Sus scrofa: one gene and its partners. The protein of the gene in region 3 binds, or shares a complex with, the protein of the main gene of each other region. Links are inferred from orthologs where the notes say so. Each region holds a gene or a part of one and is shown on either strand. Other genes may lie near its edges. The genes, in order: SAMHD1, GMNC, CCNA2, CDKN1B, E2F1, CDC6 and RBL1.

The links.
Region 1: the proteins of CCNA2 (region 3) and SAMHD1 are in contact, whole or in part, in a cryo-EM structure (PDB 9HIW), measured with the Homo sapiens proteins. The link is inferred for Sus scrofa from reciprocal best matches to the Homo sapiens genes CCNA2 and SAMHD1. Residues at the interface, in NP_001228.2 of Homo sapiens: Met210, Ile213, Leu214, Trp217, Glu220, Val221, Glu224, Arg250, Leu253, Gln254, Tyr280, Ile281, Thr282, Asp283, Asp284, Thr285; in NP_056289.2 of Homo sapiens: Lys615, Ser616, Arg617, Val618, Gln619, Leu620, Phe621, Lys622.
Region 2: the proteins of CCNA2 (region 3) and GMNC are in contact, whole or in part, in a cryo-EM structure (PDB 9HIU), measured with the Homo sapiens proteins. The link is inferred for Sus scrofa from reciprocal best matches to the Homo sapiens genes CCNA2 and GMNC. Residues at the interface, in NP_001228.2 of Homo sapiens: Met210, Ile213, Leu214, Asp216, Trp217, Glu220, Val221, Glu224, Arg250, Leu253, Gln254, Tyr280, Ile281, Thr282, Asp283, Thr285; in NP_001140158.1 of Homo sapiens: Asn165, Ala166, Lys167, Arg168, Asn169, Leu170, Ser171, Glu173, Phe174, Ala175.
Region 4: the proteins of CCNA2 (region 3) and CDKN1B are in contact, whole or in part, in a crystal structure (PDB 1JSU), measured with the Homo sapiens proteins. The link is inferred for Sus scrofa from reciprocal best matches to the Homo sapiens genes CCNA2 and CDKN1B. Residues at the interface, in NP_001228.2 of Homo sapiens: Met210, Ile213, Leu214, Asp216, Trp217, Glu220, Val221, Glu224, Met246, Arg250, Gly251, Lys252, Leu253, Gln254, Leu255, Tyr280, Ile281, Thr282, Asp283, Thr285, Tyr286, Thr287, Gln290, Arg293, Met294, His296, Leu297, Lys300; in NP_004055.1 of Homo sapiens: Lys25, Pro26, Ser27, Ala28, Cys29, Arg30, Asn31, Leu32, Phe33, Gly34, Val36, His38, Leu41, Thr42, Asp44, Leu45, Glu46, His48, Cys49, Asp51.
Region 5: the proteins of CCNA2 (region 3) and E2F1 are in contact, whole or in part, in a crystal structure (PDB 1H24), measured with the Homo sapiens proteins. The link is inferred for Sus scrofa from reciprocal best matches to the Homo sapiens genes CCNA2 and E2F1. Residues at the interface, in NP_001228.2 of Homo sapiens: Met210, Ile213, Leu214, Trp217, Glu220, Val221, Glu224, Arg250, Gln254, Tyr280, Ile281, Thr282, Asp283, Thr285; in NP_005216.1 of Homo sapiens: Val88, Lys89, Arg90, Arg91, Leu92, Asp93, Leu94, Glu95.
Region 6: the proteins of CCNA2 (region 3) and CDC6 are in contact, whole or in part, in a crystal structure (PDB 2CCH), measured with the Homo sapiens proteins. The link is inferred for Sus scrofa from reciprocal best matches to the Homo sapiens genes CCNA2 and CDC6. Residues at the interface, in NP_001228.2 of Homo sapiens: Met210, Ile213, Leu214, Trp217, Glu220, Val221, Glu224, Tyr225, Arg250, Leu253, Gln254, Glu277, Tyr280, Ile281, Thr282, Asp283, Thr285; in NP_001245.1 of Homo sapiens: His89, Thr90, Leu91, Lys92, Gly93, Arg94, Arg95, Leu96, Val97, Phe98, Asp99, Asn100.
Region 7: the proteins of CCNA2 (region 3) and RBL1 are in contact, whole or in part, in a crystal structure (PDB 1H28), measured with the Homo sapiens proteins. The link is inferred for Sus scrofa from reciprocal best matches to the Homo sapiens genes CCNA2 and RBL1. Residues at the interface, in NP_001228.2 of Homo sapiens: Met210, Ile213, Leu214, Asp216, Trp217, Glu220, Glu224, Arg250, Gly251, Lys252, Leu253, Gln254, Tyr280, Ile281, Thr282, Asp283, Thr285, Tyr286; in NP_002886.2 of Homo sapiens: Gly654, Ser655, Ala656, Lys657, Arg658, Arg659, Leu660, Phe661, Gly662, Glu663.

Annotation. Positions count from the first base shown.
Region 1 is NC_010459.5:40,169,136-40,173,408, reverse strand, and holds the start of SAMHD1 (deoxynucleoside triphosphate triphosphohydrolase SAMHD1), read left to right. Parts: upstream 1-1,473; 5' UTR 1,474-1,598; coding exon 1,599-1,806; intron 1,807-4,273.
Region 2 is NC_010455.5:128,241,580-128,245,079, reverse strand, and holds part of GMNC (geminin coiled-coil domain-containing protein 1), read left to right. Parts: intron 1-1,313; coding exon 1,314-1,934; 3' UTR 1,935-3,500. UniProt on the Homo sapiens protein: Regulator of DNA replication. Promotes initiation of chromosomal DNA replication by mediating TOPBP1- and CDK2-dependent recruitment of CDC45L onto replication origins.
Region 3 is NC_010450.4:102,259,220-102,263,145, reverse strand, and holds the start of CCNA2 (cyclin-A2), read right to left. Parts: upstream 2,801-3,926; 5' UTR 2,733-2,800; coding exon 2,520-2,732; intron 1,774-2,519; coding exon 1,530-1,773; intron 1-1,529. UniProt on the Homo sapiens protein: Cyclin which controls both the G1/S and the G2/M transition phases of the cell cycle. Functions through the formation of specific serine/threonine protein kinase holoenzyme complexes with the cyclin-dependent protein kinases CDK1 or CDK2.
Region 4 is NC_010447.5:59,733,032-59,737,091, forward strand, and holds the start of CDKN1B (cyclin-dependent kinase inhibitor 1B), read right to left. Parts: upstream 2,801-4,060; 5' UTR 2,759-2,800; coding exon 2,284-2,758; intron 1,738-2,283; coding exon 1,616-1,737; 3' UTR 1,608-1,615; intron 1-1,607. UniProt on the Homo sapiens protein: Important regulator of cell cycle progression. Inhibits the kinase activity of CDK2 bound to cyclin A, but has little inhibitory activity on CDK2 bound to SPDYA. Involved in G1 arrest. Potent inhibitor of cyclin E- and cyclin A-CDK2 complexes.
Region 5 is NC_010459.5:37,187,319-37,191,247, reverse strand, and holds the start of E2F1 (transcription factor E2F1), read left to right. Parts: upstream 1-1,129; coding exon 1,130-1,134; intron 1,135-1,189; coding exon 1,190-1,301; intron 1,302-1,425; coding exon 1,426-1,818; intron 1,819-3,929. UniProt on the Homo sapiens protein: Transcription activator that binds DNA cooperatively with DP proteins through the E2 recognition site, 5'-TTTC[CG]CGC-3' found in the promoter region of a number of genes whose products are involved in cell cycle regulation or in DNA replication.
Region 6 is NC_010454.4:22,111,942-22,115,441, reverse strand, and holds part of CDC6 (cell division control protein 6 homolog), read left to right. Parts: intron 1-148; 5' UTR 149-161; coding exon 162-339; intron 340-1,721; coding exon 1,722-2,003; intron 2,004-2,127; coding exon 2,128-2,327; intron 2,328-2,580; coding exon 2,581-2,756; intron 2,757-3,406; coding exon 3,407-3,500. UniProt on the Homo sapiens protein: Involved in the initiation of DNA replication. Also participates in checkpoint controls that ensure DNA replication is completed before mitosis is initiated.
Region 7 is NC_010459.5:40,200,714-40,203,429, reverse strand, and holds the end of RBL1 (retinoblastoma-like protein 1), read left to right. Parts: intron 1-237; coding exon 238-408; 3' UTR 409-2,216; downstream 2,217-2,716. UniProt on the Homo sapiens protein: Key regulator of entry into cell division. Directly involved in heterochromatin formation by maintaining overall chromatin structure and, in particular, that of constitutive heterochromatin by stabilizing histone methylation.

The DNA of each region.
Region 1 (4,273 bases), on a different chromosome or scaffold from region 3:
CAGGAACTTGTATTGGTAGTAGTAGTTCTTTTACCAGTTAATTGCACAAACCAGGATTTATAGAGAAGTTTGTGTCCTGCCTCAGAGTGGCAAAAATGAGAGGAAGATCCCTGCTATTTCCACAAGCTGTTACCAGCAGGTAGTAAAAGTCCTTGAAAATAAATTGGCCACTTCCTTTCCTCTGGGCAGGGAGTTGGAATGGAGAGAAGGGTTGAGAATTCTTTTAGAAGTCTGAAGTCTGCTCATGTGTGGAAACCTGAAGATAGGCTAAAACTTCACAGACAGGCATCCCCAGGATCCTCTAACTGCCCAGTATATATATATATATATATTTTTTTTTTTTTGTCCTTTTGCCTTTTCTAGGGCTGCTCCCACAGCATATGGAGGTTCCCAGGCTAGGGGTGGAATCAGAGCTGTAGCCGCCGGCCTGTGCCACAGCCACAGCAACACAGGATTCGAGCCGAGTCTGCGACCCACACCACAGCTCACGGCAACGCCGGATCCTCAACCCACTGAGCAAGGCCAGGGATCGAACCTGCAACCTCATGGTCCTCAGTCAGATTGGTTAACCACTGAGCCATGACGGGAATTCTGCCCAGCATATCTTAAAAACTGGTAATGTAGGGGTGTGGAAAAAGAGAATAGGGAGCTTGACAAGAGTAGAGCCATCTTGCCACCATCGTCCATCTTGGTTAACTTAAGCTGACCCATATGAGGGCTCTGAGAAAAGCAAAGTCTCTAGGACTTGAGAAACTCCAGGCCCCAATTGTTCTAAGGATATTTGAAAATAGCTGGATTGTACTTGAGGTTAATTATCAGAGTAACAATGTAAGACATTTTGCACAGCTATACATCTTTCTCTATCCTGCACATAATTAAAAGTTAATGTAGCATGTAAAACATGTCAGCAAGCACTATATCTCTCCCTTTCTCTTTGGGGTCCATGATTGGGAAGCAATTCCCCCGTGGACCCACGAGTGTTAATAAAGCTGTTCTCCATCTTCCTGGGGTGTCCTCTGACGTGATTTCTGGGAATTCTACAACAGTAAAATGTAAGAAAACACCTTCACATCAGATTTGAATTCATTCCAGCATCTTCCAGTTCAGCTTCCTGCCAATTTTTCTCTTAATTGGGAAGACAGGGGCAACTTTAAGGCCTTTGAGGGTTTTTTTTAAGTTTAGGGTATCTGAAACACCGCCAAGGGTAAGCCTGGGGTACTCATTAGCTCAGTTCACCAGAAGAGCCCCTGCTCTGGACTGTAGCGGGACGTCCCAGGCACACTCGTTCCAGGCTCCCCCGCCCTTACCAGCACCTCCCTCAGTTCGGCCTCCATTCACTCCCTTTATCGAAAACGTGCGGGTGGGGTTTAGGGCCATTGGACGGTCATTGCGCCTGCGCGAGGGCTGGGGGGCGTGGGGGTGCTGAGATGGGTGGCCGGCCTGGTCCCAAGGTGCGAGCTGTCAGTGCGCCTGCGCGGGAGGCCTGGGGGCTGGCAGTACTTAGCTGACTCGCGGTAGGCGCCGGACTGTCAGTGCGCCTGCGCGTGGGTAGAGCGCCGGGGTTCTAGGCTGTGCTGAGCCGGTTGCTGGGTGTAGCCATGCAGAGTGCCGACTCCCAGCAGCCCTCCAAGCGACCCCGGTGCGATGGCAGCCCGACAACCCCGCCAAACACCCCTCCAGCAGCGGCAGAGAGGTCCCTGGGCCCCAACCTCCACCCTGACCACCGGACCTGGGGCCCGGAGCAGGTGTGCGGCTTCCTAAATCGCAGTGGCTTCGGCGATTCTGAACTGCTGGAACGCTGCCGAGGTAGCAGGGCTGGAGGGCTGAGGGGCCGGGGGCGGCGGGGGGGGGGGGGTGGCGGCGACCCGAGGTGGGGCCAGCGGACCTGAGGAGAGGGCGCTCTGAGGTAATGAGCGTGGGGCCTCAAAGAGGAGCCAAGTGGACGAGGGAGCCCGAACGCGGGAGGCACCAGAAGGGGTGGACCTGAAGCGGGGCGCCCAGGAGGGATGACCTGAGGCGGAGAACGGAAACCTGAGGGGGCGAGCACTCGGAGAAAGGAGCCTGAGGCGAGGAAGGGAACTTTACGCCGGAGGCACCCAAAGGGGTGGACTGAGGCGGCGGCTCCCAGGAGTGATGGATGAAGGAGAAAGGGGCGGGGGGGGGCGTCTGGGGTCGGGGATCCGTAGGAATGAAGCAGACTTTGGGGATTGCGAACCTAGGGTTGGGGGTGGCAGTTGGTCTGACTCTGGTGGCCTTCTTCAGGAACTTGCCCCGCCGGCGCCGGACACGCGGGACTCAGCTCCCTTTTTCAGTTCGGAGAGCCTGGTGGGAGGGAGAGTTGCTGTCTCCCGAGCGCGCTCTGCTGATGCAGCTCCATGAACACTTGCCACGTGAGGAGGGTATATTTGGGTGCTTTAAAGTTTCTATTTCCTCTGCTCCCCTCCCAACTTGGGATTTTTCTAAAGAGGAAAGAACTTTTCTCCTCATCTCTGAATCCCCATCACCTACCTTAGCATCCCAGTTGGGCTCAATACATACATGCTTGATGACTGTACTTGCAGAGCTTGGCCATGATCATGTTTTGTTCTCCAAAAGCAGTTTCCCTCCCTAAATCAGAGCGGTCGGGTGGTTCAGTTGACCAGTGAACTCCCAGGAGCCCACAACTTGGCCGCATCACACGGGGGAGATGTGTGGGTTGGGTGTGCGACTTTACTGGCTCAGGTTCAAGTATCCATCTGCTTGAAATCTACTCAACTTCCCGTAAGGGGTGTGAGGCTTAACCTATTCTTTACCCTCTGAAGTGTTCCATAGGAAGAGAATGTGATTTGCAAATTCAGCAAACTTTTGCGGTTGTAGGGTGGAGCTTTATTTGCTTAGGCTAGGGGACTAGGGTGGGAGGAACTTTAGTGGTTGAAGATTTAAATTTAAAGATAGCTTAATGGGTGTAGGAAATTGTACTTCTTTTTTTCCTTTTTCCCTTTTGTTCTCCACCACTTCTGGGAATGAAATTTTTCTTTGAGTAGCAATAGGTGGGGATGAAGTTGTTTTTATTTATTGTCTTCAAAATATGATTGCCTATATTGTTGATTCTCTCTTTCGGTGGTGTCCTGTAGATTCATCAGTCTTCATGATGATCTGTCCTCTTGACCCACAGTCAAATACTAGCGGAGGGCATTATGTGCTTTTAATTGGTAGAAACTGACCAAGTATTCATAACTGTACATTTCTTACTACCTGCTTTGTTTTGACTACACTTTAGTCAGTCTGCTCTCTCTTCTACTGACCTCTGAACTCTTATTTGCCCCCAACCTAGAGCAAACACTAAAAAAGTGGAATATGCCCCGTGATTAACTTCTCCAGGGAACCAGTTGACCACAGTGGGACAATATCCTGTCGGGCTGGGGTCACTTCTCCTGCAAAGATTTTACTTAATCTCTGCTTGCCCCTCCTTTACAGTATTAAAAAGACACCTTCTTTTTTGTTTGATTTTGAGCCAATTGTAGACTTCTGAGATCAGAATGTTCTCCCTATTGCAATAATTTTTCTCTTTTTTTTTTTTTTTTATTTGTCTTTTGGTCTTTTGTTGTTGTTGTTGTTGCTATTTCTTGGGCCACTCCTGCGGCATATGGAGGTTCCCAGGCTAGGGGTTGAATCGGAGCTGCAGCCACCAGCCTACGCCAGAGCCACAGCAACGCTGGATCCGAGCCGCGTCTGCAATCTACACCACAGCTCAGGGCAATGCCAGATCGTTAACCCACTGAGCAAGGGCAGGGACTGAACCCGCAACCTCATGGTTCCTAGTCGGATTCGTTAACCACTGCGCCACGACGGGAACTCCCGTATTTTTTTTTTTTTTGTAATCGGTATTTTTTAGCAGATGATGTGTTTGAGATTCAAAGGTCACACAACTAGGAAAAAGTGTGCTGGATTTTAAGGTTAGGTCTTTGGACTCCAGAATTCATGCTAGCTATATCTTAATATGTGTTTTCATCAAAATACATTGGATTCCCTTAAACAATAAGAGAATAAACAAACCAATAAGAAAAGAAAAAAAAAATGGAGAAAAAGTCAGCTAAAAGGAAGGAAAAAAAATCCAGTAGAAAAATGAGAAAATCACAAGGACAGTGACAGCCAACCAGTAAACACAGAAAAAGACATTCACTCACTCAAAATTTTAAGAACACTGATTTTAAAATTTAGATTAAAAAATATTTAAAGAGTGATAATAGGAGAAATGGGTAATCCAGTAAAGTTGATGTAAATGTCAGTTGGC
Region 2 (3,500 bases), on a different chromosome or scaffold from region 3:
CAGATCTCTTGACTGGCAATTAGACAAAGCCAGCTACATTGTCTTTTAATGAACTTTTTTTCTCTTACCTTTTGAAAATGAACCGTTTCAGGAGGTCCTCATTGTGGCAAAGCAGGTTAAGGACCCCACAAAGCATCCATGAGGATGCAAGTTTAATACCTGGCCTCACTCAGTGGGTTAAGGATCTGGCATTACCATGAGCTGTGGCATAGGTCACAGATGCAGCTTGAATCTGGTGTTGCTGCGGCTGTGGCGTAGGCCTGCAGCTCCAACTCAGCCCCTAGCCCAGGACCTTCCATATGCTGCAGGTGTGGCTCTAAAAAGAAGAAAAAAACAAGAAGAAGAAGAAGAAAAGAACTGTCTATAACTCAAGGATAATTTTCCCATAGTCTCCTTTTTTGTTCTTCCTTTCTTTGGGTTTTGTATTTTTTGTTATCTATTTGCCATTCTGTTATAACCTCATTGTTTCTATCATCAGTCTTCACTTCTGGACAAGCTACATCATTTATCTACATCAGTCATCAATCGTGCTTCTTATGACTCTTACCAGATATAACAGTTCAGAGAAGAAAAAATTACTATATATTTTTTTTTAGAATTCAGTTATCTTTGCTAAAAAATGAGAGCATAGCTCGCAGTTATTAGTCACAATTCTGTAAAAAAAGGCAATTATTATATTAGCAAGTGGTATTAATTAGGCAATTTTTTTCTCTCTTGTTTCTCAAGTTTCCAAGATTTAGGATAATATGATATATATCACATGAGAGTGCTATGAAAGTTAATAAAATTAGAGGAAGTAGTATTAGGTTAATAAAATTAGAGGAAATGGTATTACATAGCATTTCAGTCAGTGACTGTCTAGACTCTGTTAGCTTAGCTTTACATCTAGGCTGTGTGATCCTTAGCAAGTTGGAAATACACCTGTGCCTCAGTTTCCTTATTAAGGGAGATTTTAATAGTATCTCTATAAAATATGATCACGAATGTAAACCAGTCCTTAATACATGATAGTTGCTATTATTGCCATCATCATTGTCATCATTACTTACCTGAATTGAAATTTTAAAGACGTAATTATTCCTTTTAACTTTTAAATGACTAGTAAAATAATATGAATTTGAATTTCTGGGTGTATCATAGATTTTCATTTAGAAACAGAAGTTAATCCAATCAGTTTTGCTTTTGTGTGTGATCACAGAAATGTAATCGAGATTTCTAAGGAATTAATGTTACTAGTAAATACTCGAGAATAAGTAAGGAAAATGACATTGGTTGATTATCTGATTGTGGATTTTCAAATATTACTTCCCCAGAAATTGTTGTCATCAGATGAATTCTCCAAAGCTTGCGGGAAATTCAGAAAGGGGAAAAGGAAACCCAAAGAGCAAAGATATTTTCCTCCTGAGATTCCCCATCACAAAAATGCCAAGCGAAACCTTTCGAGGGAATTTGCTAACTGTGAAGACCAACCTGGGCCCCCAGTGGATCCCTGGGTTCTTCGAACACTGGGATTAAAAGATCTCAATACCATTGATGACACCTCATCAGCTAACTACAGTGCCCTCTCGTCTCATCCCAGACGGACCACCAGCTCATTTCCCCAGTTTCTAGACCATGCAATTGATTATCCCAGAGCCCCTGGGGAAGATCTGCCACTTGACTGTGGAGGTGATGGAACTGCCTCCTCACACAGCACTGCCAGCCACAGGGAAAATTTCCACTTCCTTTCTCAACCTTCAACCCCCCCAGGAGGGCTACAAACTCTTCCTTTCTATGCTTCTGATGTTTCCCCCAATAAGACAGAGATGGCCTTTTCCACATCCCTGAGCCCTCACTGTAATGTGAAAACTCACTCCTTCCACCAGGGACAAGCCTTTGTTCGTCGTGACGAAGAGGGAGGCTGGAAGTTTACCTGGGTCCCTAAGCAGTCTTAGTGGCCTTCTCTTCTACCACAAAAGGTTGCCATGAACTCTGTTTACAAGAACCTCTTGCACTTGAACCTGAATATGTGGAAAATGCAAGCAATTGCCCAGATTGTCTCCTGCCGCTTTAAATGTCACTCTCACTTACCCACTTAAATCTGCAGGGAATGGCTTCCACGAATCCATAATGAAACATGCCTGCTCTTCTTTCCCCTAAATTTGACTTGTTTATACACCCACACCTGCTGTTAACTTCGTCCCTTGGCCCTATACTTGAAAAGGTATTTTCCAATTGCCTGAATATTCCTTAGAGACCTACATATGCTCTTGCAATTATAATGAGTCTAACAGCTTTTCTTCTTTCATCAAGCAGTTTAAATGTTCACAGCCTTCTCCCTTTCACTTTTATTCCTCTCCTATTCCTCTTCATTTCTAAAAACTGCCTTTGAAATGAGCATTATAATTGCTCCAAGTACCTGTTAGTAAGTGTTCAAATAACTGGGGGTGGGGTAGAAGCAAATGTCTTTGTCCTTTGCTGTTCCAGAAGACGTAAAGTAGGTGTGAGGAATGCTATTTGTTGGGCACTTCATTGGGTGTCCCATGGTGGAGTTGACCAAAAAAAAAAAATCTCTTCAACAGCTATAACTATACTCAACAGCTATAACTATACTCATAATTACTGATACATTAAAAGGTAAAATGAATTTAAATTACTTCAAAATTCCCACATGGTATACAGCTTCTATAGGCATGTGACACTGTGTTTGCAACAAACATGACAAAAGAAGAACATTTTTGAGGGACTATTGGAAGCAGAATAAATCACTATCTTTAACTACGTAGATGCTGATAAATTTCTATCCCTGATGGTATAGTATAGTTTAGCTCTGATGCTATCTTGCTCATTCATTCAGTCATTCATATATTCATTCTTTCATGCATCAACACACCAAAAATATTTGAAGAACACCAACAATGTACCAGGCATTGTGCTATGAGGTGTTAATAAAATGGGAACAAACTTAGATACTATGGGAACCCTTAAGAGATTTAGACTCATTCATCTGCTGACAGAAGTCAGACTAGATAATCACTAACATTCTATAAATGAACCTTGGTGCCATCAGATTAACTCCAGTTCTGCCATCCCAGGGCACCATTCTCTACTTTGATTGTCATTGCAGATATGTTGGTTGAACTTTTTTATAGTCAATTTAAACAAAATGTAAGCCATTTGTAATTAATACTAGAAATCATTGCTCTGATCACTGTATTCTTTTTCTGGTATGAACCCATTTTCCAGGTTAATTCAGTCTATGTGAAAACATGCATCTAAAAGAAAAAGAGACATTATTTTTTAAACATTTGTGCATAGATTTAATGGAAATATTGACATCAAAGAGTTCCCTTTCTAAATTAAAAAAAAATGTTTTCTTCCTGCTATGCTAGTTCTCCTTTTTTTTCCAATTCCCCAATCTCCCTTTCCTTCTATAATTTATTGAAGATGTGTAGCTTTGATTTTGGGGGGACCAAATTTTAGTTGATGATAAAACCCACCATGTTGAACCCCTTTCCCAT
Region 3 (3,926 bases):
TAAGATTAAGTTACTTTTAATTTTCTATCTAATTAAAGCTAAAAGTGATTGTCCTTGTAAGGAGTCCCATACTACCAAAGCATTTATTTTATCCAACTAAAAAGAGCTTCTTATGACAAAATACATAGAGGATTTCACTCTGATTTTCGTACCTCTGTCCACCTAGCTTTGGAATGATTTTAACAAGAAAAAAAAAAAAATACTGATAAGCCATTAACAGGAAAAAGAATTTGAGGAAAAGATATTTTGTTAAAGTATCCTTCATCTCCCATGACAGGAGTACAACGGTTCTGTCAGAATAAGTTAAAATCAAGTTTTGAGGTAATACCTAGGATTTGTCATAAGGGAGCTTACAGACCCCAAAGTCTGACGTATTCAAAGCACAATCTAGACGGTAACTAGAAGGCTAATGTGTGCTAAAGAGAATTATATTTGTTATGGGCAGTTCCAACCTATTAACACTACAATCAAGGGGAGATTCTTTGTTGTAAATTTAGATTATCTTTGGAGGCAAAAAGTATCAGCTATTAATGTTTTTACTTCAAGGTTTAATCTGAGGTTAAAATTTGTTGTAAATTTTACTTTTTTCTTTTTTTTTTGGTCTTTTTAGGGCATGTGGCAACTACCAGGCCAGAGATGGAACCCTCCCACAGCTGTAACCAGTCACAACATGGCAACACCAGATCCTTAACCCACTGAGCCGCAAGGGAACTCCTGTACATTTTAAATAAAAGTACACAAATTATTTTATTTTCAAAGGACTTCCCTGCTATACCTCTCATTGACAGAACTAAAATATACTAGATTTAGTGAGCCCATCTATTATATGTGGTAATGTACAAAAAAGCATAGTTCAACTGTGACTCACAGGATAACCATGTCCCTCCCTGGTGTCAGTCAATCACTCAGACTGCTTTTAAACAAAAGTTTAAAGCTGGAAGAGATGTTGATCACAACATTTATTTTTTGTCTTTTGTCTTTTTAGGGCCTCACCGGACTGCATACGGAGGTTCCCAGGTAGGGGTCTAATCAGAGATGTAGCTGCCAACCTACGCCAGAGCCATAGCAACGTGGGATCCAAGCCACATCTGCGACCTACACCACAGCTCATGGCAACACTGGATCCTTAACCCACTGAGCAAGGCCAGGGATTGAACGCGAAACCTCATGGTTCCTAGTCGGATTCGTTTCCGCTGCGCCACAACGGGAACTCCTGATCACAATATTTAAACTACATCCTCAAATAGCACTCTTTGAAATGGTATATACAAAGTGAATCTTAAGAATACAATTGAAATATATTCTCCCAATCAAGCAACATGTCCAGGGTCAGATTAAAGTAAGTGTTTGAGATCTAATAAAACTGATGTGATTAATAGTGTACCAGAGAGTATAGGATTAAGATCCTTTTGTAGGTCACTAGGTCATGGATAAACTGTGAGGCCTGAAATAAGTCACAGCCTTTCTAAACTTACCTATGCAATAATTATGATTACATTTATTTGATACAGATATTCTTTAAAACTTACCAAAACTACCATCCATTGGGTAATCAAGAGGTACCAGTGGTTTTCTTGGTCCAGGTAAAGTAACAGCTGAATTAAAAGCCAGGACATCTTCACTTTCTGGTTTTTTAGATTCAGCTGGCCTCTTTTGAGTCTCTTCTTCTGCTTCATCCACATGAATGGTAAATGCAGGTTGTTTACTGTTTGCTTTCCAAGGAGGAACAGTGACATGCTCATCATTTATAGGAAGATCCTTAAGAGGCGCAACCTAAAAATAAATAACTGGCTTTGAGTCTATTAAATGGAATTTGGCTTTCATCCCCTTATACTGCATTTACTTCCAAATACTCTATCAGGAAAATTAAACTTTATGGGGCAAAATTCAGGCAAGGAAATTTGAGTATGCGTTCCTGCAGAGGTTTTAGAGTCACACTAACGGATTACACAAAAATAATCAGGGCTAAGATAGGTGGTGGGGCAGGCCAAAAGATGCCAAATTTAGGAGAAATGGCAAAAAAGTGGTTTACCTCTTTCGCCCCAGGGTGGAGCAACAGAGCAAATTCGGTAAGATGGCGGAATTGTCCAAAAGCAAAGTATTTTTTATACCTTTTTCTAAAGTAGAGGTAATCTCTTAATTATGTGGGTAGCATGAAGGAGGTCCGGGCAATGCCTGGGGCCTAAAAGCTGAGAGAAAGGCGCGGAGGCGGCAAAGACCGTACTTAACACATACTCAACGTCGGAGGATTTGGTTTGACCATTATTGTCTATAGCAAAATACTCTCCATAGAGCAGACAGGCAACATAAACGCATAGTGCTGGCAGGGAGACTAATGGGAGAAAGGAATGGGGGTAATGTGGCATCCCACACTCGAGAAAACCAGAGGTCAAAGGGACCCCCGACACTGGCCTCCCGAAAAAACCCCAGGAGATGCTACCTCGCCACTCTCCTCTGCGGTCCAAACCCATGCAAAACTCCCGCTTGGCCCACCCTCCTCCAGATAATAACTCATTTACCCGTCGCGTCTTAGGCCTCTGCTGCAGCGCTGGACCCCGTGAGTTCCCGGCCTTCAGTACCGCCAGCCCAGCCCGGGTCCGGGGCTGCTGGGCGGCCGCAGCCTTCTCGGGGTTGATGTTCTCTTGGTCCTCTTGGAGCGCCGTCTGCTGCAATGTTAGCAACGCCGAGCCCGCCTCGCGGGCCACAGGCCCGGGCGCGGAGCTGCCCAACATCACTGCTCCCGGGGGCGCGACGGGATCAGCCTGCGGCGCCAAGCAGCGTGCACTGCGTCCCGCCGACCCGCCGAGGAACACTCCTGCCCTACCTACCCGCCACAGCCCGGGCCAGCCTGCCCGCCCGCCTGCTCAGGATCGTGCAGGACCAAGGAGGTTGCAAAAGCCGGAGGCAGGCGCTGCCGGGCGTGCAGGGTCAAGGACGCCCCCGGAATGAAGCGAGCAGCCCGCCGGAGCGGCAGCTGTTCCTGCAGTTCAAGTAGCCCGCGACTATTGAAATGGACCAATGATAAGGGCCAAGGCCCGTGACGTCACGCTGGGCGACACAGTCGCAGGCAAGTGAAGGCTGCCGCGAAGGAAACCGAGCAGGGGCGGAGCGGGGCGAAGAAAAGTCGGTGAGCAGCAGGAGGAAGTACGCCCGCGCTGCGCAAAGAGGCGGGGCCTAAGCTTATTGTGACTTTAAACGGAGCCACTAGGGGGTCCCTGTCTCAGAGCAAGGGCTGTCTCTAGAATAAACTAAATTAAATTTTAACAATTATTAGTGGGCCACCTTGGCCTTTAGCCTCAGGACCTCCAGTTAGCTCGACTGACTAGTTTCTCAAGGTCTAAAATCTGATCCGCCCACTTACTGGCCCGGTGATCTTGTTCAAGCACTTCAATGTTGATTCTCAGTTTTGTAACTGTTAATTGGGAGTAATAATGTTTATGCGTTATATAGGTGTCCTTAGTATTAAATAACGTGCATAAGTCATTTAACACACTGCTAACGTAACTGATACTCAAGTGGCAGACTACATCATCTTACCATTTAAGTGCTTCGCACAGTCATGCTTTTTATTTTTCTAATGATGATGCAGTTATTTTGAAGTACCACCTTGTACTACTGTTGATAGATGTAGCAAAGAGTAATGTACTACAAAAAAACTCCACTAGATGGTCATTAATGTTCATCTCTTTCTTTCCCAAGCTGTGGTAGCCAACAAAAAGCAGAGTAAAATTCTAGTGATCTATATATAATTATGTGCTCCATTTAGAAATGAATGTTTAAATATAGTAAAAACAATATGACCTTATTAAAATAAAACTCTGTTAGCAATATGTGCCTTAACAAATTCTAACATTTAATATACAAGGCTTGCACATATCTAATAATTATAATGGTATATAATTAAGAAGCACTGTTTTCCAACAAAT
Region 4 (4,060 bases), on a different chromosome or scaffold from region 3:
GTAGCAAAATTTTCTAAATTTGAAAAATAACTGGAAATAGAAAAGCTCACCAAAGAAAATTCTATTCACCCCCCCCAAAAAAAAAACTAGTTTCTCAGTCGTATGAAGAGTATACACACATGAATGCTTGAGAAGAGGTCCTTACTACTATTTCCTGTATTCGCTGAACTGGCAATATTTACTAACAAATGCCTCTCTGTATGTCAGAATGCGGCCAGATCAAAATCCAGTAGGTCTGATTTGCTGTGGCTCATCTGATGAGCTAGGCCACGAGTCACCAACCAACAAGAGCCACAGGTGTTAAGGTTGACTCAGAAATTTTTTTCACTTCATATACAGCTATAACGTAGGGTTCGATAGTGCCGTGTTGTATAAGCTCTGAAAGATATCAGACGTATGTAATAAAGTCCTACCTGTGACACTGATGTAAAAACACAACAAACTTGAACCCTACCTTCATCCCTGTTCTTTATTTTAAAATTTTTATAAATGAGGATTTTGAAAGTTAATGTCAACATCTCTTAGGATCTCTTTAAATGCTAAGCTATGAGGGTGTTTGTGGAGGGGAAAAAAAAGAGGTCACGGTCATTGTCTGTAAGGAGTGTACAAACTATTAACTAATATATGTAGTTTGATCATTATGGAAACCAATCCATGTAAAGCTGGGGGGCTGAATTATGCAAATTAGTTTTTTACATTGATCAGATTTTAGTAGGTGGAAAAATGTCCACTTGCCTTGTTCGGGGTAGCCCTAACCAGTGGCAGCCCTGGTATCTACTATCCATTTCCCCTACAAATATCCAAATTATCCTGTTATAGCACGATTAGCATACACATGCTGACGTGTTCCTGGATTGCTTACTCTGGCAGAGTTACTTAACTTCTGCTTTGTAACTTCAGTGTTATCAGAAATTCCATAGGAACCTTAGCGTTTTTGAGCCTTCCATTTTGGTTTTTTTTAAATACACAGGTTCCTTCTCCATCCCCCACACTGATCAGAAAACAGGGCAAGTGACACTTTGTGAAAACGATAGATAAAAGAAAGCCACACTCCTCTCTATTCACATTTCTAACCATGTGATTAACCAGATATGAGCCATTTGTACCTAACTTTTCCCTCAAAGTTTTAACTGGATCATTTATTTGCCATTTTTTTCCATGTATGGCTCAAAATCTGTTAGAGTCAGCTTGGTCCTCTGGGAGATGAATTCTCCTGAAGTGGGATGGAGGCAGACCCCCGCTCTTGTTCAGATGGAAAAAGAACCTATTGTTCCCAACACCGTTTTGATGGGACTCTCAGGGAACTGACCTTCCTACCCACAGGGCCTTGGTTGCAAGTATTTGCCTGGGACACTTGCTCTAATCATTGGGAGCTTCAAAGGAAAATGATCTCAGGACAGAGAAACTGGGAAGAATTATAGTACCCCCACCCTGATGCCCAGTCTTTCCCATTCCTCCTTTTTTTGGACCTCATAAAATACAAACAAAACCCCACAAGCTCTAATCTGCCAGACACCACTAAGATCGGGTATCTTGGTGTTTGAAAACCCATGAGTTCCTTCAGCCCAAATCGGGTGTCACTTATTTGCTTCCAGTGATCAACCCACCGAGCAGTTTACGTTTGACGCCTTCTGAGGCCGGGCTTCTTGGGCGTCTGCTCCACTGAAGCCGAGTTCGGGGAACCGTCTGAAACATTTTCTTCTGTTCTGTTGGCTCTTTTGTTTTGAGGAGAGGAATCTAAAGGCAGGAGGGAATTTTAAAAAGAACACACACAAATAATCTTTATTAGAAAAAACAATGGCTGACACAAGTTGGCTCGATACTGAGGGGACAAAAAACCCACCACCTCCACCCACCATCCTGGATCCGTCATTCCCAGTGGCCTTTAAGGGCACAAAATGAGGTTGTTTTCACATAACAGAAAGTGTATTCTACGCCCCAAATCTCTCTCTCTCCAAAGCGAAGAGGGAGGTGGTTGATAAACATCCCAACGTTGTCACATACCTACAGCTGGCTAGCGGGGAGGAGCCGCGATGTTTTCAGTTAGAGAAATTATCAGATAGCACAGTCTCATGCTTCAGACTTAAAAGTCATAAACAGACCAGCAGCTAGCCAAATAGCATTTAAAACCTAAGATGAGGAAGGTGTGTTCCCCAAGAGCTAAGTCAGAATGCGCTGAAAAGAAAGCGGAGGTTTAAGATCCTCAAGCAGGGAAAACAGCACGGCAGACAAACAGAGAGAGGCAGACAAACAGACGTTTCATGCATTCGAAAGGGTCATTACCGTCTGTGGCAGGTCGCTTCCTTATCCCAGTGCACTGCTCCGCTAACCCCGTCTGGCTGTCCGGTGCATCAGTCTTTTGGTCTACCAAATGTGTGTCCTCTGAGTTGGCCTGAGACCCAATTAAAGGCACCGCCTGGCGGGTCCCGCTGACACCCTGGCCCTCCTGCGCCGGCACCTTGCAGGCGCCTTTGGGTGGCCGCGGGGGTCTGTAGTAGAACTCGGGCAAGCTGCCCTTTTCCACCTCCTGCCACTCGTATTTGCCCTCCAGGGGCTTGTGATTCTGAAAATCAAAATTCCACTTGCGCTGGCTGGCCTCTTCCATGTCTCTGCAGTGCTTCTCCAAGTCCCGGGTTAACTCTTCGTGATTGACCGGGCCGAAGAGGTTTCGGCAGGCCGAGGGCTTGGGGTACTCCGCCTGTCTGGCGTCCATCCGCTCCAGGCTCGGGCTCCCGTTAGACACTCTCACGTTTGACATCTTCCTCCCGGGGCTCGGCGACCGCCTCTCTCGCGCTCTCGCAAAACAAAACCGAACAAAACAAAACGCCTCGACCCAGCCCGAGCCCCTCTTATAAGCCCTGCGGCTGCCCTCCGAGCCAAGAGAAACAAACACCGACGAGTAAGCGCCCGAGCGTCAGGAGCGCGCTGGGGCTGGGGGAGGGGGCGAGGGGCAGCCCGGGCCAGGCAGCCCCGAGTCTCCGCCGATCAAGTGTACGGGCGAGCTGGAGGGCGGGGAGGGGAGGGGAGAGGAGCGCAGCGGAGAGAGGAGGGGGCAGAGCCAGTCCGAGTCCCCGCCGCTGCGAGCCCGCGGGTCCCGCCGACCGAGCGGCTCTCCAAACCTTGCCGGCGTCGGAGTCGCGGAGCGGCGAGAAAGTGGGGACAGGGGAGGGGGAGAAAAACACCCCGAAAAGACGAGCCCCCTTTTTTTAGTTGCCCAATATGGCGGTGGAAGGGAGGCTGACGAAGAAGAAGATGATTGACACCGCAAGTCTATTTAAACAGAGGAGGAGATCATTGGTCGCGGCGCCGGGAGCCGCCCAGCCGAGACTGGCGAGCTGGGCCTTAAGGTGGCCCCTGAGCCGCCGCTGCGCCTCCCCGCCTCCCGAGCGCGCCGCCGCCGAGCGCGCGGCCGGGAGCTCGACTGGTCGCGTGACTGCTGGAGGTGCCGGGCTGCCAGCAAACCTGCTCTGGCTGGCCTCGGAGAAATTAAAAATAAGACAAACTCGCCAAAAGGCCGGGGAGCCGGGGAGGGGCCTGGCCGGAGAGGTGGCGGGTTCTGGTCCCTGCGCTGCGCTCCGCTCCGGAGCCCCGACCTCCCTCTCCTCGCCGAGGGCGATCTTATTTTCCCCTCGCTCGCCGAGCGGGTAGGGGCGGGCAGCTGGGCTCGCCGCTGGGCGCTCGGCCCCCAGCTGGGCTCTCTCCCGGGGGGGCCCCCACCGCTCGCTCAGCGGGGGAGGCGGGGAGCCCCTGAGCCTGGGTGCCTTAGCTGGGGGTGAGCAGTGGTTAGCTCACCCTTAACCTAGAAGTCTGTGCTGTTCTAGGGGAGGCAGGGGGCTTAGGGGGGAAGCCCAGGAGGACGTCTTTCTATAAGTAGACTGGAATAGATGCTGCATTTGTAATGTATTCTGAACCCAAGCTCTCCCTCAATAAAAACAAGAAAAGGGCTTCGAGATCAAAAACTCTATTGGTCTCCCAAGTCCCTAATAAACTTAGTAGCTGTCTCAGATACATTTCGTTTAAAAAAGCGAGGATACACCCCTGGCCCAGGTTCTTGCTTCCC
Region 5 (3,929 bases), on a different chromosome or scaffold from region 3:
CTGTGCCAGGCTGGGAATAGAATCTACATCCTGGCACTACAGAGATGACACCGATCCCATTGTGCCACAGAGGAAACTCCAGCTACTTTTTTTTTGATGGGCCCATCCCCACCAGATGGCAGGCAAGTTCATAGAAATTATCAAGCCTTTCACATATCTGCCCTCAGCGCTGGCACAAAGCCTGGCACAGAGGAGAGGACAATATAACTCAAATCAGCTGAACTGAGCAATGAGAAGTGGCTGATGGGGAGGTCCTGTGGCCTCTGGTTGCTCAGCACACTCACCTCCTCCCTTTGTAAAATCTAACATGGAATTACCTTAATAGTTGAAATCTGTGTCATATGTAAACATTTGTTACCTCAGTTTCCCTCCAGCCCCTTTCACTAAACTGTTAGATCCTTAGGGCCAGGAGTCAAGAAGGGGGCACAGAGCAGACTCTCAAAACATTTGTTGGGGTTCCCAAAGTGGCTCAGCGGAAATGAATCCGACTAGGAACCATGAGGTTGTGGGTTCGATCCCTGGCCTTGCTCAGTGGGTTAAGGATCCAGCGTTGTGGTGAGCAGTGATGTAGGTGGCAGACAGGTCTCAGATCTGATGTTGCTGTGGCTGTGGCCTTGGCTGGCAGCTACAGCTCTGATTTGACCCCCAGCCTGGGAACCTTCCAGGGGGTACCCTAAAAAGCAAAAAAAAAAAAAAAAAAAAAAAAAAAAGGTTTGTTGAATGAACGAAGGAATCAGTTCAAGCAGAAGCTGTGCTTTGGTTGTTGAAGCGATTCCAGCTACAGGAGGCTTTGGAGAAAAGCCCCAAGCTGTACTGGGTCAGACATTCCTCTCCATTTTCTGGCAACTCCTTCTGCTTGTGCTCTGGGTGGAAGGGATAAGGTGGGCGCAGGATTTGAAAGTAAATGGCATTGGTGGGGCAAGTTGAGGAAAGATGTGGCTGGGGTTTTGTAGGTGGGCTTGAGATCCTGGAAAAGAGAAACTGCGTTTGCAGTTTCTAGAGTTATGGCCTGAGGGTGTTGGAGCACCCACAGGTGGGGGTTCTGGGAGGTCACGTGGGGTCTGTGGATAGCGATCTGTGCACAACACACGTTCTGTTGTAAAAGCCTCCACTAAAGGGTATCAACAGGATGGGGTGCGTCGAAGAGGGGGTGGGGCCACCACTCCCCACACAGGGCCGTCCCCTCTAGGGGCGGGGAGTGCGAACGCGCCTGGCACCGCCCCGACAAAGCCTGCGCGCGCCCCATCCTGCGATTGGCGGTGCTTCCTCGCGCCGCCGCCCCGTCCCGCCCTCCGCCGCCGGTCCGGCGCGCTGCAACCAATGGGCGCCGTCGCCGTCGCCTCCGTCACAGCCAGGACAGCCAATAGGCGCAGCGCTCGGCGGCTCGTGGCTCTTTCGCGGCAAAAAGGATTTGGCGCGTAAAAGTGGCCGGGACTTTGCAGGCAGCGGCGGCCGGGGGCGGAGCGGGATCCGGAGCGGGATCGAGCCCTCGCCTCGGCCTGCTGCCATGGGCCCGCGCCGCCGCCGCCGACTGCCACCCGGGCCGCGCGGGCCGTGAGCGCCATGGCCGTGGCCCCCGCGGGCGGCCCATGCGCGCCGGCGCTGGAGGCCCTGCTCGGGGCCGGCGCGCTGCGGCTGCTCGACTCCTCGCAGATCGTCATCATCTCCACCGCGCAGGACGCCAGCGCCCCAGCGGCCCCCGCCGGCCCCGCCGCGCCCGCCACCGGCCCCCGCGACCCCGACCTGCTGCTCTTCGCCACGCCGCAGGCGCCCCGGCCCACCCCCAGCGCGCCGCGCCCCGCGCTCGGCCGCCCGCCGGTACGGACACCAGGGACACTGGGCCAAGTGCGCTGCCTGGACCCCGGCGTAGACCCGGGCGGGGCGCTATGTTTGGCCTGGAGGCGGCGAGGGCGGGGGAGGGTGGGTTGAGGCGCCCAGGCTGGGCGGTGCCGAGCTTGGGTTGGGCCTTCGGGCTCCGCCCCGGGGTGCAGGGTGACCTCGGGCCAGTCCTTGTTTGCTCCTCTGTGCTCTGGGCCTCAGCTTCTTCGCTGGAGCCTGTCTAGGGTCAGACTCAATGATAATAATGGCCCACGTGTATTCAGCTGTTGCTGACTGCCTGCCAGGCCTCTGGCAGACTTCAAGGCAGCTAAAACTCACATCCATGCTGTGAGCTAGCTCTGTGTTGTCACTGTGCCCATCTGAACTGTGCCCAGAGAGGGGAAGTGGCTTGCCCCCTGGTCACAAGGCTGCAAGTGGGATTTGAACTGAGGCCTGCTGGCTTCAGACCAGAACTTGTGGCTGGATGGTGGGCACGGCTGCTTGGGGAAGTCAGGGGAAAGTTCTGGGACCAGAAAGTTGAAGGGCCATTGAGGAGACCCTCCTTCCTGCCTGGATGCTGGACTGCCAGGTGCAGGCCTAGCCCTCCGGGCCTCTGGGGACAGGCCGCCTGGCTGGGAGGCCTTCTCTGCAGGGGCGGGGTGGCTGGGCCAGCTGCTGATTCCCCTCCCTCTGCCTGTCCTTCCATCTGCCACCCTCCACCCTCCCAGACTCTGGTTGCCATGGAAGCTCATTAATCAGGCAGGCAGACCCCTGGCCCCAGTGGAAGTACTGGGTGGGCTGGGCCTCTGGGAGCTGGAGAGGAGGCCCCCAGTGCTAGAAAAGAGTAAATGCCCCAGGGAGATGCCTTGATAAAGTGCTCCCTGAGCAGCAAGAGGCTTAAGACCAATTCAGATTGGGGGGGGGCTCAGAAGAGACCGCTGAGTTACAGGGGGAGAAGGGGGTGGAGGCCTGGAGCTTGGACCTGTGGGCCGCAGGACAGGGTGTGGAGACCAGTTTGACTGGCGCAGCCTGTGGGTAAGGGTAGGGCATGGATGGGCAGGCAGGGGCCAGCCAAGCAGTATGGGGTCTCAGCACAGGGCTTGGAGCAAGTGGGAGGGGAGAGGCAAAGCCCAGGGCAAGGAAGTAGTATCTGCCCAATTACTGTTGGGGGACTGGGTGGCAGCTGGTCCCTGAGGCATCCCACCAAGGTTCCCCCAGTCCCCCTGGCCCCTTGCCCAGTGTGGCCTTCCTTCCGGAATCACTAAGATGCTAATAATAACAATAGCAGCCACCATTATTTTGAGACTGTTTTGTGTGTTAGGCCCTGTGCCAAGCACTTTACCCAATTAACTCATTTAACCCTCTCAACAACTTTCCCCTTTTCCAGGTCGGGAAGCTGAGGCCTAGAGAGGTTAGAACCTTCCCTAGTTACTCAGCTAGTGAGTTGTGAGACCAGTCCAGATTTCCTGAGTGGTTAACCACTAGGATGCCTCGCTTCCTGGAGATGCTAATAGAGGTTGATGAAAGCACAGGACCCCTTCCTCCTAATGAGTGAGGGGGATGGAAATTGTACCGGGGTGGGTCGCTTGGCTGGTCTCCTGCACCTCAGCAACCTGTTACTGCAAGTACCAGCTTGGGGCCTGGACAGGTAGCTTCCATTTAGCTAATTGATAGTACTTGGCTGTGGGGCCTGCCCTCGGCAGTCTGAGCTCTAGGTTCAGAGGGACAGCCAGAGACTGGGCCAAAGACATGCCCTGTGCTCCACTCCTTATGGTGCCGGGGGCAGCCTCAGTGGGCCTGAGCATTCCCTTCATTCAGCACTTGTTGGTGAGTGCCTATGAGGTACTAGGCAGAGGCAGGTAAGGAGCCTCTGCCCCTCAGTGCTTAAGGGCTAGTAGACATTTTTCGCCGTGGGCAGGGGTGGGGGCTGGTGCTGTCTTGGAGCTGAAGTTGAGAAACATGGGCCCAGGTTTTGCCTTGAACATTGTACCTTTCGGTAGCCACTGGCCACCTGAGCTCTGGCCTCCACTGACCCTCGGCACTGGCATTTGTTTGGGGCAGCCCATGAAACAAGCTACAGACTCAGCTTCTGCACAGGTGAGCATTCACCG
Region 6 (3,500 bases), on a different chromosome or scaffold from region 3:
GATTTGGATGTGAAGCAGAACTAAATGCTAAACTATTGCTAGAACATTTATGAAACAAGTGTTGATTATCGATGTGAGTTCCATGTTAGTTATTTTTCCTTCACTTTTGCATATGGACTGGCTGTCTTGTTCTCTTTTTTGTACCCAGCTGTGTTGCCGTCATGCCTCAAACCCGCTCCCAGTCACAGGCTACAATCAATTTTCCAAAAAAGAAACTGTCTCAGACATTGGGCAAAGCAAAAAACTCCAGTGACACCAAACTAGAACTGACAAATGTCAAGGCCATACCCCGTTCACCTTGTGAAAAAATTCTGCCTCTTAGCCCCAGAAAACGTCTGGGTAAGTTATCTATTACTTAAGTACAAGTTTTTGACTGGTATCTCTCAACCTCTCTTTTCTCAACAAGATGCCTTGGGGGGAGTTCCAGTTGTAGCTCAGCTGGTTATGAACCTGACTAGTATCCATGATACTAGAAGTATCCATGAGGATGTGGGTTCAGTCCCTGGCCTCACTCAATGGGTTAAAGATCTGGCATTGCCGTGAGCCGTGGTGTAGGTCGAAGACTAGGCTTGGACCTAGCGTGGCTGTGGCTGTGGCTGTGCTGTAGGCTGGCATCTGCAGCTCCGATCTGACCCCTAGCCTAGGAACTTCCATGTGCCACAGGTGCAGCCCTAAAAAACAAAATAATAATAATAAGATGCCTTTGAAACAGCTTTCAGAGTTCAGCTATGACCACTCTATTCCCTTTGGTTATTTTCAGAATGGTTGCTAAGTGCTTAGCACTTCAAAGTTAAGCTACTTGTTGAGATCATTTTCTAAACTACTTAATAGATATAATCTTCAGTTCTTAACACTGAACTTTGTTCTGTCAGTGTTTCAGGTTACCTTTCAGTTGGTTATATAGTATTTTTTTTTTTTTTTTTTGTCTTTTTGCTATTTCTTTGGGCCACTCCCGCGGCATATGGAGATTCCCAGGCTAGGGGTCCAATTGGAGCTGTAGCCACCGGCCCACACCAGAGCCACAGCAACGCGGGATCCGAGCCGTGTCTGCAACCTACACCACAGCTCACGGCAACGCCGGATCGTTAACCCACTGAGCAAGGGCAGGAACCGAACCCGCAACCTCATGGTTCCTAGTCGGATTCATTAACCACTGCGCCACGACGGGAACTCCTCTATAGTATTTTGAAACTTGGCTCAATAGTTATGAAATTAAGAGAAACAGGTGACAGAGTTCCCTGGCGGCTCAGTGGGTTAAGGATCCAGCCTTGTCACTGCTGTGGCTGTGGGTTTCTTTCCAGGTCCAATTTCTGCACGCTGCATGCACAGCCAAAAAAATAAAACTGAGAAACAGGTGACAATTCTTGTTTTAGAACGGTGGTGATCCTTCCTTGTTTTTAATGAGGGGTGATTTGGCAGTATCTGGAGACGTTTTTAGTTGTCATAACTGAGGGGGTTCTACGGACATAGTGCCCTGCTTTAGAGCAATCCTAGAATTTCATCCTAAACTAAAAACCCTTTTGGTTTCTACCAAAAGGTAGTAAATTCAGGGCTGCCATCTGGTGGCCAATATTTGCTCTGGCTGCAAGGCATTTTATTTTGGCGGTTCTGAGGGGCAGAAATTCATTTCTTTGGGGGGAGGGGGAGATGCAAAGAGCACGCCAAGCCCTTTTACCACCCACTGCTCCGAATGACCACGTTTTGATTTTAATATGTTTCAGGTGACGACAACCTGTGCAACACTCCCCGTTTACCTCCCTGTTCACCCCCAAAGCAAGGCAAGAAAGAGAATGGTCCCCCTCGCTCACGCACACCTAAGGGGCGCAGATTGGTATTTGACAATCAGCCGACAATTAAGTCTCCCAGCAAAAGGGAACAAGCCGGAGTTCACCAAAGCAAAACACGTTCCTCAATTCGAAAAGATGCAGAGGTCACAACAAGTTCTGAGCAGAGATGTCCGCTGGAGAAGGAGTCTGCTCGTATGCGATTGTTCAAGCAAGAAGGTTCGTTCTCGCCTGGCAGCTGTTGGTGCAGCCTTGTAAACAAGGCTGGGGATTCCAAAGGAGGCCCAGTGGGTCGTCTCAGTCACCTCCGTTGTGTCTAATTGTCCTTTCATGTCTGGCACAGGCACTTGCTACCAGCAAGCCAAGCAGGTCCTGACGACAGCTGTCCCGGATCAGCTGCCTGCCAGGGAAAAGGAGATGGATGTCCTCAGGAATTTCCTGAGGGAGCACATCTGTGGGGAAAAAGCTGGAAGTCTTTATCTTTCTGGTGCTCCTGGAACTGGAAAAACTGCCTGCTTAAGCCGAATTCTGCAAGACCTCAAGGTATATTGAGAGCCCGAATTACGGTGCTCTTGCAAAATGACACTTGGTTCTTAAGGGTTAAGAAAGAAAGAGGAGACGGACCCTAGGGGATCGACGTGTTCCCCAAAATAGGATGTCTTTCATTTCACTGTCTAAATCTTTCCAAATGGAAGTGGAGCTTACGCTCTTGTATGCTATTCACTCCTCTAAGACACTTTAGGTTCCGTCAGATCTTTATCTGAGTCTAAAATAACTCATGTTTGCATTTTTGTAGAAGGAACTGAAAGGCTTTAAAACCGTCATGCTGAATTGCATGTCCTTGAGGAGTGCCCAGGCTGTATTCCCAGCCATTGCTCAGGAGATTTGTCAGGAAGAAGTATCCAGGCCAGCTGGGAAGGACCTGATGAGGAAACTGGAAAACCATATGACTGCAGAGAAGGGCCCCATGATGTAAGCACTGCTCTGCCGCATGTCACTCTGTGACAGTCTACAGGGTCTCTTGTCCCCCAGCTCACATTCTCGTCTCTTGCATTTTATCAGGTTGCTCGTAAAAAGTACCTTTCCTAGATTTGCTTTATGAGAGGTAGTTATATAAGCTTCCAGGGAAAGAAGACAAGGAAAAAACAAAACCTTCCTAAATTTAAATTGGGGAAAAAGGGGTTTTAAACTAATTGCTTGAAAAGCCAGTCTGGAGTTCCTGCTGTGGTTCCGAGGAAGCGGATCTGACTAGCATCCATGAGGATGCAGGTTCGATCCCTAGCCTCGATCAGTGGGTTAAGGCTCCGGCGGTTCCATGAGCTGTGGCGTAGGTTTCAGACACGGCTTGGGTCTGGCGTGGCTGTGGCATAGGCCAGTGGCTAAAGCTCCGATTCAACCCCTAGCCTGGGAACCTCCATATGCCTCGTGTGCAGCCCTAAAAAGACCAAAAAAAAGAAATGCCAAGCTGTTGCTTTTTGGCAGTGGTGAAGGTATCATCATAACAGGGACGGGAGGGAGGGCAGATTACGACTGCAGGGATGTGGCCTGGAATCCGTCCGGATCAGACAGATGGGAGAGCTGAGAAGGGGAACGTGGATACTATTGTTTCTCTTTCTCTGTAGTGTGTTGGTGTTGGACGAGATGGATCAGCTGGACAGCAAAGGGCAGGATGTATTGTACACACTGTTTGAATGGCCATGGCTGAGCAGTTCTCGA
Region 7 (2,716 bases), on a different chromosome or scaffold from region 3:
AGGGTGAAGCATGAGAATTTGCATTCTTAATAAGTTTCTAAATGCTTCTGCTGCTTCTGGTCTGATATCCACATTTTGATAACTACTGCTATAAGGTAAATCTAATTTTTAAAATCATCTCTATCCCAGTGTTTAACTTTGTATAGAGGATAGAAGGCAGGAAAAAACAGCTCAGTTCTTTGCTGCTGCTGCTTCTTTTTCCCTTTTTACTCACACATGTCCTGTATTTTTGCACAGAGTTTGAAAGATATCAACAACATGATAAGGCAAGGTGAGCAGAGAACCAAGAAGCGAGCAATAGCCATCGATGGTGATGCAGAATCACCTGCCAAACGCATCTGTCAAGAAAATGATGATGTTTTACTTAAAAGACTACAGGATGTTGTCAGTGAAAGAGCAAATCATTAGAATTTTTTCCATTTCTATGATAAAAGCACTTTCAAGTTGTTTTGCGGAAAGCTGGGGGTCTATCTTTCAAAATGTTCAGTCAGCCCTGTAGGAAGTAAATATCACTGAGTTACAGGAAAAATTACACCAAAATTAAGCAGTTTTTAAAAATTTATCCAAAATATAGTTGACAGAGATGTATACTGAGTTGAATTATAAAGGAATTTTTAAGTGCCTTTTAAACGTATTAATAGTTGTAGAATTTTTAAAATATTTGTTCCTTGGGTTTTTCAGACGAAGTAAGGAGAAACCCCATAATTTTGTTAGCTCACTTTTTGAAATAATTCAAATGTCTTCTCCTTCTAGACTTTGTAATATGAAAGTGAATCATCTGTTTTTGCTTTAAGTGTGCTTTGAGATGGTTGTATTCCTAGTTTAATGTTGAGCACAGGTGGTACCAGCCTGTCTCTGACCCAGGGCGGTAACTCCACATCCAGGTACCACTACCCTTCTGGGCTGTCCAGATCCTTTTCATGCCCTTTGTTTCCTTGAGCAGAAGCAGATTCAAACCTGAACCAATGCACTATCCCTGCTACTTCTTACTTTCCAACCCTAAACCCTCTTAGCCTGGTGTCACAACCTAATAAAGGAGGTACTTGCTCCTTTTTACTTTTTATTTTTTGGGCGTGCCAAGGCATGCAGAAGTTCCCAGGCCAGGAATTGAACCCATGCCACAGCAGCAGCTGGAGCCACAGCATGTCACAGCAATGTGACATGCCACAACAATGACAGCTGGAGCCACAGCAATCCTCATGCAGGATCCTTAACCTGCTGAGTCACCAGGAAATTCCTCTTGCTTCTTTTTAATACTATCATTTTGTTTTCCAAACCATTAACTTAATTATACTTGATTATTTTATGTCATAGAATTCTCAAAATAGGAAGCTGCTTCTCAGGCCAGTAGAGTAAAATACAGAAAAAAGTTGTTAGAATTTAAATTTCCTACCATGATAATATGTGAAATACTATTTTTGAGGTCATTGTAGATTGGTCATTCTCAATGTCTAATCGATTCCCTAAGAATAGTTGAAATCTTTTTTAATTAATTACTATCACCTCATGCCTTATCATTCTGCTATACATCAGAAAACAGCTGTTTATTACTCCTTCCCTCTTGGTTCTCAGTATCACTCATGCCTTGTGAGTTTCCCACTAGGGTTTGATCCCTGGGGCCTCTTAAGGATGTTTTCCAGGGCTAGGGGTGCAGCTTTCCAAAGAATCAGCTGTTCAGTGTTCACTTTTTCTAGTGTGTTTCCAGATTCTGGAAGGACATGGATAAGCCATTCTTAATTAATTTTGAGGAAATGTTATCAGATTTATGTTTTTTAAGCTGCAAACCTTATTTTTTAAAATATGAAATATTTAACTTAACCTTTGTCTAACCTGGGCTAATTTGAATTTGCTTAAGATTTGACTATGAATTAGTAATTACGATTGTCAGGAATTTTATTTTTAAATTTTAAGAAGAAAAGTGACTTTGGTCAAATTTTACGTTTCTGAAAATTATATCCGAATTTTTTTGTGTAGTATCTACACATGTTATAAGACAAATAACATCAAATCTGTCTCGAATCCTTGTATATATTTTTGTGTAGCTGTAACTATTGTGCCATTTTAATCGTCATTATTAATGTGCAAAATGTAAATGAGCATTTGTACATTGTCTCTATAAGAAACTCTGGACAAGTTTTTATCAGTTTTCAAGACTGGATATCAATGTACATAAAATGGTTAATAAAATATTAGAGTTTTGAAATTATTGAAAAAACTATACTTGTGCTCTTTTCTGTGTGACTAGAATATATATCTCTTTTATCCACTTTATATCTTTCAGATATCTTACTGTAACTTAAAAGTTAATGTTCTTAGTACTTTCCAGGAACTTGGAAGAGCATAGAGTGAGTAACTGCTTGATGAGTGCAGGGGATTTTTAGAGGTGATGAAAATAATTTTGAAATTTGATATAGCTGGTGATTGCATAACATCGGGAATTTATTAAATGACACTGAATGGTACTCTTTAAAATGGTTAATTTTGTGTTAGGTGAATTTCACCTCAGTTGAGAAAAATGCCTTAGATACATATAAAAGATACATTTCAAGGCCTTAGAATGGACCAAATGTAATACTGAATTAAGGAAGTCTTCTCTCTTAAGAGTGCTTTCAGATGTGTTTCTCTATTTGAGACTCACAGCTTAAAAATTTTCTAATTAAGATTTTTGTGTGGTTAGATTATGTTAAATCATATTTAAAAAAAGGTAATATTTCTG